Linked DNA regions of Arabidopsis thaliana. The protein of the gene in region 1 interacts with the protein of each later gene in a pairwise test. Each region holds a gene or a part of one and is shown on either strand. Other genes may lie near its edges.

Region 1 (6,416 bases):
TTTTTTGCGTTGGCGTAAAAGAGCTTCTATCCACGAAGTGGTCCCTACATTACAAAATGCGACTCACATGGATGTATCTACGTGTCGGTTATCCATTGGGTGATGTAGTAAATATTGTCTGGGCTCTCTATTTTTGTTTATTTTTATTTTGTGTACTGTAGAAAGAAATCAGAGAGCATAATACTAGTACTAGTATTATTCAACTTAGGTTTTCGGTGACGTAAGCAAAGGTACAGACCACATCAGCTTTGAATATAGACCGTTGATCTCGGTTTCTCGATTAGAAAAAAATCGACGGTTAAGCTGCAATAAAAACGTGTGTTTTATATAACTTCGAATCATCTGACGTGGCCATCAATATTTTGTAGTGGAAAAAAAAAGTGGGGTCGATAAGTCAGAAAAGGAGATTAATCATCCAACGGCTCAAACGTGTCCCGACAAAATGACGTGTCCGTCTGGTAAGCGGATAGTCTTACTTACGCATTTATGTGGGCCCCATGTGACGAGGACTCAATTCCTCTATCCTCATTTCCTAAATTATCCTTGTCACTTCATTCTATTTCCTCGATGTACCATTGCTATAGCCGCATTGTTTGAACTTTGAATATAAAAGCCTAATGTTCACACTATAGGCAATTTAGCTTCATCATTACGCATCGTAGTAGGCCTTGAGCCCATATTTTAAGACTAACCTCAAAAGCTAGGCCCAAATTCTATCTTGGACTATTTATAAAGACCCATATAGAAAAGTAAAAAAATCCAATCAAAGAATTTACAGAATGAGGTACTCTTTAAGCCATACTTTTGCTCCTTAGGCAATTATTGTACAAAGGACACTCGTGGTTAGAGCTGCTACATAACGAGATTATACAACTTAAATGTGACGACATAGAGAGAGAGAGAGAAGAAAACAGTCAGTGCAGGTCTGAGGAACGTTTAATGGTGAGCTCGGCTCTGAGATGGAGAATGCCATTGATGAAATGTTGACTGTCCTCGGCTATGAACGAAGTCCATGGAATCCCGAAAAGGTTTCTGTAACCAACCGCTTTCCCCCCTGTGAATGTGTAGTTTCCTTTGTATTTGCTTACGTATTCTTCCTTTGTACTTTTATCTCTTGCCGCAAATTCGTAGTCCACACCAAAACTCACAGCCCCTTTCTCTTGCATTCCGAGGAATAGCCCAAAGCAGTGGAACGAGCTTTGCTGGTCCATGTTGCAGTGTGCTGAGAGGAAGAAACCTTGACCTCCTAAGTGGAAAGCCTGAGAATAGACTCTTCCTGAAGGGAATAGTCCTGCGCATTCCTCTCGCTTCAAGTCCAGGTACACTACACATTGCGGGCGAGGAAGCTCAAACTCCACCACTTTTACGGGTCTGTATTTGTAAGCCCTCTCTATGAAACGGCGGTTCATGGAGTCCGATCCTTCAGCTGCGAGGATGCGTTGCCTGTGTGGGGCTTCTGCTTTGAAGAAGAGCGCTTCTAATACTTGCTTTGATGCTACTTCATGCTCAAAATCACTGCACGTTAGTACCTTTTTCAGCTTTCGACACGTCATGTATGGGAAGCGGATGTAGAGTGCAAGGCGTGAACCCAGAATCTCTCTACGATCTTCCAATGAACTATACTGTCCCCTTGCCCATTTCAAGACAAAATCATAAACAGCATCCTCAGAAGCAATTTGGAGATCATCGCTCGATAGTATCGCCTCTATTCCAGCCAATGGTAAGGCCATAACCTCATCATGAAACCTGTACAAGATGGTAACACATGAACAAGAATTATACAACACTAGAGTAAATGCATTTCAAACCACTGGAGAGTCTTACTTGGTAATATCCTTGTAGCGCGAGGCAAGGAACTGCTTTGCTGCATCGGTTAGAGGTTGCACTGCTTCAGCCATTAAAACACTAGAGGGCAGCTCAAGATAGAGCAAAGCAGAATCAGGGGTCATGGGCATATTTCGCAGTAGTCTACTACAATACCTCATACAGGAAGCAACCTCAAACTTGTCAGCAGCCATAAGAACATCTAATAAAGCGGGTGCTGTTGTGACACTTAGAGAGTTGCTATACATAAAGTTTAAAAGCTCCATCAAAGCACCTTCCTCTACAATACACATAAAAGTAGAGCATGAGAAATCAACAATGTGGACTCCCTTAAAGCTAATATCGTATATCATATGTAAATCAAAGTCAGCAACTGAGTTAATACAAGAGGCATAAAGAATCCAAAACAAGAAGAAGCCAACAGAGAGCTAGTAGAGAATTGAAGCCAATATAAAGAGATTGGAGAATAGCAGAAATGAATTAAAAGCTTGACTTAAATTGTCGTACCTTGTGCACTAATTCTAAGGGTTACATGTCTTTGTTCTGATTCCCTCATTCCATTAGAAAACAGCTACAACAGGGTAAGGAAAACAAGAAGCAAAAGATAGCATTACATGCGAGATGAACAAGAGCAAACAATAAGAACATAGAAGAAGAAAAAAGGTTAATACCTTGTAGAAAAAGGGGCTTTTTGCGGCCAAGATAGGAGAACTAATATGCAGTTCTTTAACTCTAACAACAGTAGAACAATCAATACCCCAGTTTGGCTCACTAGATGCATCATCATCACCTACAAAAACCATTAATAAACAAAGCCATCACGTTTCAGACAAATGACTTCAACAAAAAACGCTCTTCTGAAAATTGTTAAGTATCACAAATTCAAACCCAGTCACTCGAGAGACAATGTGAAATTTAGAACGGTACCTGATAAAGCCTCTTCAACCATTGCCTCTCCTTCATCGTCAAGATTATCACCACCAGGAGCATCATCCATATCAGGTTGGTTGTTATCGGTTAAAATCTGTTCTTCAGCACATGCCACAATGTCTGAAATCGCAACTGGAAATGCAAAACGTATAAGTTTCTTAAACATTTAAACCCAAAAGCCCTAAACCAACCATAAGAACAATTCATAAAAACAACAACAAAATCTGAGATTCCAACCGATAGGGAATCAAACGTACCACCATTGTCCTTCTTGTTGTCCTCTCTTCTCCTCTTGCGATGACGAGCCCAATCGGCAATACTCGTACATCCTTCAGCATCAGACCTAGAATCCGAAGGCCCACCCAAGATCTCGATCCGGAGCAAACGATCGGAGAAGTTACTGTCATTGAAAGCGAAACCAAAATCACCTTCGGAGGAAGAACCATGGCGAGAGAAATTGGAATCCATCTCCGTCTTAGGGTCAAATAGATCGGTGTTATTGGAACCTCTCATCCTCCTTTTCGAAAACCCTCTTCTCCGTGTCTTCTCTCCGGCGAGAACCGAGCAGAAGAATCAGGATAACAATAAGGGTCAAATTCGAAAAGGTTTTTTTGAGGAACGAAAATGACAAAGAAACACTAAAAAAGTCTTTCTCTGTTTTTTTTTTCTGAAACAAAGAGCGGGTCGACGTTGAACGGTTATGGTAACAGGGCGGTGACGGATAAAGGCTAATTAAAGACAAAGAGGTTCGTTAATGCCAGCCTAACTAATTGTTTAACCGGTTTGGTCTTTTGATTGTAATAAGCACTTTGGTTCTTTTTCCGGTATTTTGCATAAATCGCGTAGGTACGATTTTGATTTTGACTTATCGGATTCGATTTTTAGTATTTGGGGGAAATTTAGCATTTACTTAATTAGAGGAGGAAAAAGGTAATAGGCAAAATTAGGAGTGTATTTAGTTGGAAAGCGTCAAATTTGGTAAGAAGACAACTCGTTCAACAAACGGCAATGCCTTTTATGTCGTTAAATATTCGTTGGAATCAAAGTCTAATTTGGAGTTTTCTTTTAATAAAATACAATTACTTCAACGTTTTACAGACTTTGTTAATTAGATTTTGACCGAGTGAAACTTGGCTATGCAATGATAACTTGACAAAAAAAAAAGGACTAATTTATAAATTGAAATCCGGCCGGTATACATTTCTTCGTAGGCCAACACATGACAAACCAGTTGACTATGTTGTGTACTACTAGGGATCATTTGAGATGATACGACTTAACGTATCGACTACAAGCAACCCAGCTGCTATTATTTCTTGAAACCATCGATGGTATATTTTCTCAAACCAAAACAATTATAGTGTACTTGTTTCGATCTGATCGAAGTTAAACCTAACTTTATTATTGTTCTTGTTTTAACTAAAAACGTATCCAAGACCAGTTTTGATGAATATATTTTTTTCTTTTTTTAGGTGAAATGTCCCCTTCGTATTTACGACAAACACACGACTAATGTTAAAATTAAAACAAGGAACAAGAAATATTTATACATTTGTCAGTTTTAATCTGTATTTCCATTAATATCATATTTTCAAATTGGCACACGAACGTCTTCTCGTAAATAAACAACATTAATATTGCTTCCATGCAAGCATCAACCACAAACACCTGCAAATAAACATGACAACCTGAAAAAAAAAATGCACTAGAGAAAAAGAAAACAAGTTAGATCGAAACCAAGTTTTGAAGAACAGAGACTAATTAAGAGAAGAAGAAAAGGAGCTCCCTTCAATCCAAACGAAGAGAAGAGAATGATATGTAGAGAAAGAGGGAGAATCTAAGAGGTCGTGCAATCCCCTTAAAGTGTGCTTTCTTCAAGCTTTTAACACCGCGCACTCTCTATGAGGAAGACATGAACTCTTAGATTCTGCATTTTAGTTCCTCAAATCTTGTCCTCTTCGTTTTGGAGGAAGGGAGCTCCTTCTGTTACACTTGAAGAACGAATGTCCCCCAAAAAGAGTTTGATATCTTTTTACAATAAAACGAACCAAAAATAAACTATGGAAAGAGGGAGAATCTAATATGTATGGTGATGGATTGTTGAGGCTTATGATGATGATGTGAAAGAACATGTTGTGTTAAGTCGTTTTATAGATGAAAGAGCATCAACCCTAGTCTACTCCTTGGGACGATTATGGAACAAGTGTAAATAAAAAATTGAAAAATATAGAAGAATAAATGGCAGTAAATCTTATTATTATTATTTATTTATTTATTTTGGCAGTAAATCTTATTGTCATTAATTAGAGATTAAACATAATCTTGTTGACTAGATTCTCTTTTAGAGAGAGATACGGTTAGGGTGCAACACTATGGTTTATGGAGTATTTGCAATTCCATTGCATTAAGACTAAAAAGAGAATTAGTTAGATTTCAAATGTCCAAACAATAACTAAACCGTACTTTTTGTATATTGAAGAGAATCTAGGCATTCGTAAGACCATCATTATTGATAGTTTTTTAGGTTAGTTTTTAGATAAAGTAGATCTTAAATTTAATGTTATAATTCAATTAATGGTTAAGAATAGCTCTTATATAAGAGCCAAATCTAATGTTTTTTAAGTTAATTCTTAGATAAATTAGGTCTTAAATATAATATTTTAATTTAATTAATCTTAATTTTTAGATAACTTAAGTATTAAATAGAATTGTTTGTCATATTTGTTTAAAATTTTATGTCATGTATGTTTTAAATTTTATGAGTTGTAATAACTATTAAGTTTTTTAAAATTATAATGTTTCTATTTTTTTTTTCAAATTTTCTTTTTAAGAACTCCAAGTTAAGATTCCACCATTGCATATTGCCTAAATTTCAATCTCTTAACCAAGTTTTTAACTTCAGAATTTTCAAAATCAATTATAAAAATATTCATAAAAACTATATTAAAATTATGCTAAGAAACTACCATTAATGATGCTCTAAAACAGATAGAGTTTGGTCAATCGCTATTACCGACACATCTTTGACTTGGCTTTTTTTTTTTTTTTAACGTTTATTAATCACCAATCAGTCTTCTTAAAACTTGTGGAATTTTTGATGACCAAAGATTTGAACTAATCGGTTAAATTGTCTCTTCTTTAAGTTACATCTTTTTGTTCTTAATTACAACTGCCAAAAATAGTTGACCGGAGTTGTGTTCTTTTTTTTTGTCGAACCGGAGTTGTGTTCAATGTCAATATATGTGAACTGTTGACAAAATTAGCTTTTTCCTTTTTTCATGTGAAATTGGTTTCTGTCACTGGGACAATTAAAATATTTAGTTTTTTTAACGACTAACGAGCATTAATATTAACCACAACCAAATAATTAATCCAACATACATGAGAAGACACGAGTTAATTATTTGCTCGAACCGGAATTATCACTCTGGTTTCAAAGAAGAACGTAAACGTCGACTTTCTACACGAGCTTCCATCAGCTTATCCTTGAGAGTACGATGATTATCTTCCCTGATCATCACATTCACATTTCTCGGATGATTCTTCGAGAAAGTTCTAGACTTTTCTTGACTCTCATGATCATCAACGTTCCTTGGACTACTCTCTGGATGAATCTTATCTCCTTCCGAAGACATAGATAGATTAAGAACTTGGCCTGAGCT
Region 2 (5,704 bases), on another chromosome or scaffold:
TTTTCTATTTGAAAAAAAAAAAAAAACCAAATTTTAGTAATTTCTCAGTAAGTAAAGAACAAAAGCCGTGAAGTCTACTCGCGCCGAAACCGTGTTGATGACTTGTGTCTATTTCTAAAATGTTTTTTCTTTTTAGTTTTTTGTTAAATTTTTTTTTTTCGTTTCAATTTAATTTTGTAAAAAAATTGTGTTTAGTAACTTTTTATCTTTTGTGTTTGTCACACATCAGCCGTAATTTTTCACACATTTTAAGATGAATGAAACTCCAAATTTACAACGATCGGATATTTAGATATCAATTATGTATTGGAAGAAATGTAATATTATGTATTTTATAACAAATTTACTACTGTTAATAAATAAGATAGTTGAAAAAAAAACAAAAAACAAAAAACTGTTAGCGATAAGATTTTAATTGAATGCAAAATGTTTTCCAATAGGTTGACAAATTCTTTAAACAAAAACAAAAAAGGTTGACAAATGAGAGGAACAAAATTTATTTTTATTGTGAATGAGAATGAAGACGTGGCAAATTATTGACGGTTCATTGTCGGAGCTTCGAACGAAAGTATGAACCTTTCTCTTTTCCTTGTTTTTTTTGTGTATTTTGAGTCGAAGGATCTTTCGGAAATTATAGCCGCCACCATCGACGACGACGACATGGCGTTATTACTTTCTCTACTTCAATATAGTACTACTACTAATTTTGTAAAATATATGTCTATGGATTTGGCTTGCAAGATAAGGGATTAAAGTTTACAAAAAACAAGAAAAAGGTTCATAGAATCATATTACATAGTTGTAAGTAATATGATTGATTGATTGATTGATCATCGAAGTAATATTTGATTGATTGATCATCGAAGTATCAATCACATTAGACCAGTCCCTTGTCCGGTATGTAATCATTCTCTTAATTATCAACAAACCAAATCTTTGAGAAACCTTTCAAACCATTCACTGGTCTCTGTCGAATGTTTTCTTTATCAGCAGTCTAATGCTCCACCACGGCACTGAACTATGGACCCGCTCTAAATGTTATAAAATTTTCAAACCCTAAATTTTATTTAACTTTAGGTACAAGACATACCTCTTGGTCATACATACACACACATATATACATCAAAATTTCGGAAGAAAATAGAAATAAATAAAAGCAAAGTAAAAACGAGTGCTTTGATCAATCTGCTAGCTTTTGTCTATCTCTCGCGATCAAACTTCATCGCCGGGTTCAAGTTTTGTAACACCGATATGATGTTGCTAATGAGAGCCAGCAAGAGAATGAAGCCTATGATCATTCTCATGAGATAGATATACCGTGGATTGTTGCGGTTTCTCTCCATTGCTTCCTCTGTAATAAACCAGCTCTTCTTCTCTGTCTTCACCATAGATGACTCCTTGTCTATGGATGTATCACTATCAACCGCTCTTGATGTATCTTGTTTCACCTGTGAAGGAAAGTTACATAATCATTATCTTTATATATCCAACATATGTTGAAATCATATAGAATCAACATAAGAGCAACGCAAAACCTCTTGTTTTGGTCGTATGATGCTTCGTGTGAGTTGAGATTGCCGGGTGCTACTACTGATGGAAGGTTCTCCATAGGTTTGTAGATCATTGCAAGACGATAGAATCTCATCTCCACCAGTCTGGAGAAATTGTCTATTCGAACTACCAACACTATCATCACCTGGACTTGATGTTCCTTGGTAACTCTGACATAATATAATCAAAATGTGAGAATGGAGATTACAGCACAGAAGTAACGATAAAGAAAACGGGTGATTTGCTTTACCGTTGCAGATATCGATTCAGCATCACTATTACTATCACTGCTATAATCAACAATAATCCCTGACAAAGCCTTCTTTGGCCTGTGATCGTTGCGGTTCTCGGTCATAGATAAGGTTGGTCTGGATATGAAATCTTCATTGGCAAACAAATATTCAACCTGCTCTCGGTTAACATGCCTCAATCCACCGAGAAACTCATCATCATTCGGGGTTAAGTGAGGAGCTTGTGGATGCACAGTAGGATTGTTATTGTCACTGAATAACATGTCTGGATCCAGTACATCCCACAAAGAGAAATCTTCTTGTTCATTCTTTGGAGTCCCCAAATCATCCACAGACATACCAAAGAAATTTTCTTGACCTGGCTTCTCAAACTGAAAATGTAAAAGAGAGTTTTGAGTAAACGAATCAAGTACATGAGATTATCAAATAAAGAAACTGGAGTCACCTCAAGCGCTGTGGGACTCGTAGCTCTGACAGTATTCGAATCAGAGACCAAAGATTGACTCGGCTCACTCGAGTTGTTACCACCAGATGGGACGTCTCCATCTTCACCCTTATACATCACTTGGCAGATAACATAGTTCCTCTGAACAAATTCCAAAAGTACACACACACATAAGTTCTTTGCCAACAAAACAAAAAATCAAACACACATAACTCAAACAATCACAAGCTTTGGCAGAAGTAAGAACACTAGGTTACAACTTCTATACATAGCGCTTAAAACTCTGTGACAACACAGAACGTACTAATGATAGCAACCAACACAGGGGAGATTACAGTAATATATTCAACACAGGGAAGCAAATACACTAGCCTTCTAGGCCACAACTTCTATATATAACACTTCAAACTCTGATACACAGAACCTAAACTTGATGTACTAAGCATCATAGGGAAAAGATAAGTCAAACCCAAATCTATTCTTACAAGAACATGACTTTAACCTCAAATTGGGATAAAGATAGCAACCAACACAGGGACAGATGAATCAAACCCAAATCCAATTCAAGAAGATCAACTAACAGAAACATAACGCTAAGTCAAACTAACACAGAAGCTCAAATTCAAGAAACTCTGAGTTTATTATACCTGATCTTGAGGCAAACAAGTGATGTGATACTCATGCATAACCCAAGGAGTCCAAACACCTTTAGGAACTCTACCTTCATAATACACAAGCGTCTTCTTTATCCCAATCTCGCCGCGATTACCTCTCTTATCTTTGATTTTCCTATCAACACCAGTAGCTTTCCAATACCCTGAACTTGTAGTCCTCTTCGTTACCTTCTTCTTCGCAGAAGTATACTCCTTTGGACAGAAGAAGTACCACACAGGATCATCCGATTTTATCTTCGATAAAGCTACAACAACCAAACAAATCCAGAATTAGAAATGACCGATGATGAGACAACGATGATGATTTTGAAGTGAGGAAACTTACAAGGCAAGTAAATTGGGTCGTAACTACAGATGTTGATCTCGCTAATGGCTTCGTCGACGAGCCAAGTCTTACCCAAAATTTTGTTCTTTAGATAATGGTTTATCAATTCCTCTCCCGTTGGATAAAATCTATACCCAACCAGATCTTTCACCATTTTTTTTACACAGAAACAGATCAAATAACAAAACTTTTTGAATCGACACTGAAAATTTTTTAGTGTTTGAGTTTTAAGGGCTTTTTCTCACTTCTCTGTTTCTTTCTTTTTTCCTCTATCTATTATTGTTTTTTCTGAAAGACGAACAGTACTAATACAGTTGGGGTGAAGAAGAACCATAAAAAAAGAAAGAAAGATATTTGTGGCGGAATGCAGTAAAAGTATATTAATGTTTTTCCCCTAAACGTTGACAAATGAGAGGGACAAAAAAATATTTTAATTGTGTATGAAGTAACACGTGGCAGTAAGAAAAATTGTTTGAACTTCGAACCGAAGTTTCAGTTTTTTTTTTTCCTTTCCGAAGGATCTTTCTGGAATATTATAGCCGACATAATTGACAACATAGTAACATACATATACGTAATTACGTTCTATACTACACCTAAATAATCGTAATTAATTTTTAGATTTGTTTTTGTCAATCCTATTACATTATCATTAGAGATGTTCAGGATTTGAATGCTTACGGCGGTAAAAACGGTCTATAATTGATCCGCGACGATTTTCTTTTATTTTTCTTAATCTATAATCTTACATACTCTAATTTATAAATGGTAAATCAAAAACGGTCTAATTCGCAAACGGATTTATCCGTCTCAACCACCGTAACCATTCACATCCTCAAATCTAATCCTATTATTATGGTGATGAACTGATGATCGTAAAACTATTAATTATGCAACATAAAGGTCCACTTAACTACTAAACAAAATCCAATATTACTGCTGTAGATTCAAATGCTCGATGTCGATATATACCAAACCAAACAATCATAAGTTTAACCAACTATATATAGCTTAGTAAAAAACGAGGGCCTATATTGTTGAAACAAGTACTCTTACGATTGTTTCGATGGCTCATGGCTATATTGAAAAAAGAAATGAGAAGTTTTAAAGACATACAATTTTGGACGGAGGTAGGGAAAATTCGAAAATGCAAAATAAACACAAAACTTGGTGAAACTCGGAAGACAGCAGAATTTATAAGAAGAACCTTCTCCTGCTCGTGTCCATTTCAGGCTGTAATGAAATACAAAAAAAAAACACATCAGAAAATAAAATTAAAAATCATCAAAAACTCTAAAGAACAGCAATGAAGCTGCTCGTGTCCATTTCTGGTGATTTTACCTTATGAACCCATTCAAATTCTCCACCTTTGGTGTCAAAAGTTCCATGCTGTAGAGTAACTAGCTTAAGCGTGAATCGAGGACCGCATTCCTAAAAATCCAAAGTTTAATGATACAAACATTGATAATGTTGATTACTTTTTGATTCAACATGGTCAAAACTGACCTGAAGACGAGGTTTTATTGTCTCTTCTTTTCCTTTATCACTCTTGCTTTCCTTTGTCTCAAATATGTAACTGGATAGTGTTGAAATTTGTTCAATAAAAAGTTTTATTGGAGAATGGAGCAAAAGCAACTCGAAGAAGAAAAGGTGAAGTTATGTACCGGTGATGTCTGAAAAATATAAAGTCACGCTGGTTGTGGAATGTTACAACTCTCCTACCACGGAAATTAGGATCCGGAGGGAAGAGTGATTGAAAAAATCTGAAAAAAGGAAAAATCTAACATCAGCAAGAAATTCAAAGAGACCATAAAACCAAGTCAACAACACTATGAAAACTATACCTCCCAACACGATTCCCTAAACGCGTTGTAAAGTTATTCAAAACCAGTTCTGGTTGATGGCTTGTAGGATTTCCGTGATTCTGCAGTTACATTTAACATCCAATTCAGTGATCACTAATCTACACTCGATGTAGAGAAGAGTAATGGTTAGCTTACATACCTTAATATCCTTCCTTAGAACAAGATTTGACAATTTGAAATGAGCAGTAGGACCATTTGGCAAACCGATGATAAGAAGCGCATCTACATATGAAATAGCAAAAGCTTGAAACAAAGCATATACAGTAGAGAGCACAAAACTTGAAACTCAGTGAAAACTAACCAGGTTCTCTACGATTTGTATGAACAACAATAAGAGATGTAAAATCTTTCTTCGTTGCGTATTCTACAATCTGCAGAACCATATCTAACAAGGTTATATAGTTGCAAAAAGACTAACTTTATAGAGAAACAAGGAAGCTATGAAACTTATAACAACACCTTCTTCAAATCATAGGTTCCTCTCTTTTGATAATGAGAGTTTGGTATCACCGAAAGCAACTCAGATATTAAAGCAGGTCCTCTCTGCAATCCAACAACATTACTTGAATCAGAAAACCACAAACAAATCTGTA

The links.
Region 2: the proteins of LRB1 (region 1) and NAC069 interact in a two-hybrid assay, tested with the Arabidopsis thaliana proteins (one large-scale study listed by BioGRID).

What each region holds. Positions count from the first base shown.
Region 1 is NC_003071.7:18,992,962-18,999,377, reverse strand, and holds LRB1 (BTB/POZ/Kelch-associated protein), read right to left. Parts: upstream 3,734-6,416; 5' UTR 3,268-3,733; coding exon 3,012-3,267; intron 2,887-3,011; coding exon 2,752-2,886; intron 2,615-2,751; coding exon 2,496-2,614; intron 2,396-2,495; coding exon 2,332-2,395; intron 2,105-2,331; coding exon 1,825-2,104; intron 1,747-1,824; coding exon 915-1,746; 3' UTR 706-914; downstream 1-705. Other genes in the region: AT2G46250 (myosin heavy chain-like protein), read right to left, coding at 6,177-6,416. UniProt on the Arabidopsis thaliana protein: May act as a substrate-specific adapter of an E3 ubiquitin-protein ligase complex (CUL3-RBX1-BTB) which mediates the ubiquitination and subsequent proteasomal degradation of target proteins.
Region 2 is NC_003075.7:672,826-678,529, forward strand, and holds NAC069 (NAC domain containing protein 69), read right to left. Parts: upstream 3,621-5,704; 5' UTR 3,401-3,620; coding exon 3,247-3,400; exon of another isoform or gene 3,167-3,246; coding exon 2,895-3,166; intron 2,389-2,894; coding exon 2,248-2,388; intron 2,174-2,247; coding exon 1,802-2,173; intron 1,722-1,801; coding exon 1,536-1,721; intron 1,449-1,535; coding exon 1,200-1,448; 3' UTR 1,037-1,199; downstream 1-1,036. Other genes in the region: MEE49 (Ribosomal RNA processing Brix domain protein), read right to left, coding at 4,441-4,479, 4,588-4,677, 4,753-4,822, 4,911-5,009, 5,091-5,170, 5,251-5,333, 5,413-5,482, 5,571-5,654. UniProt on the Arabidopsis thaliana protein: Transcription activator activated by proteolytic cleavage through regulated intramembrane proteolysis (RIP). Involved in salt stress response during seed germination and seedling growth.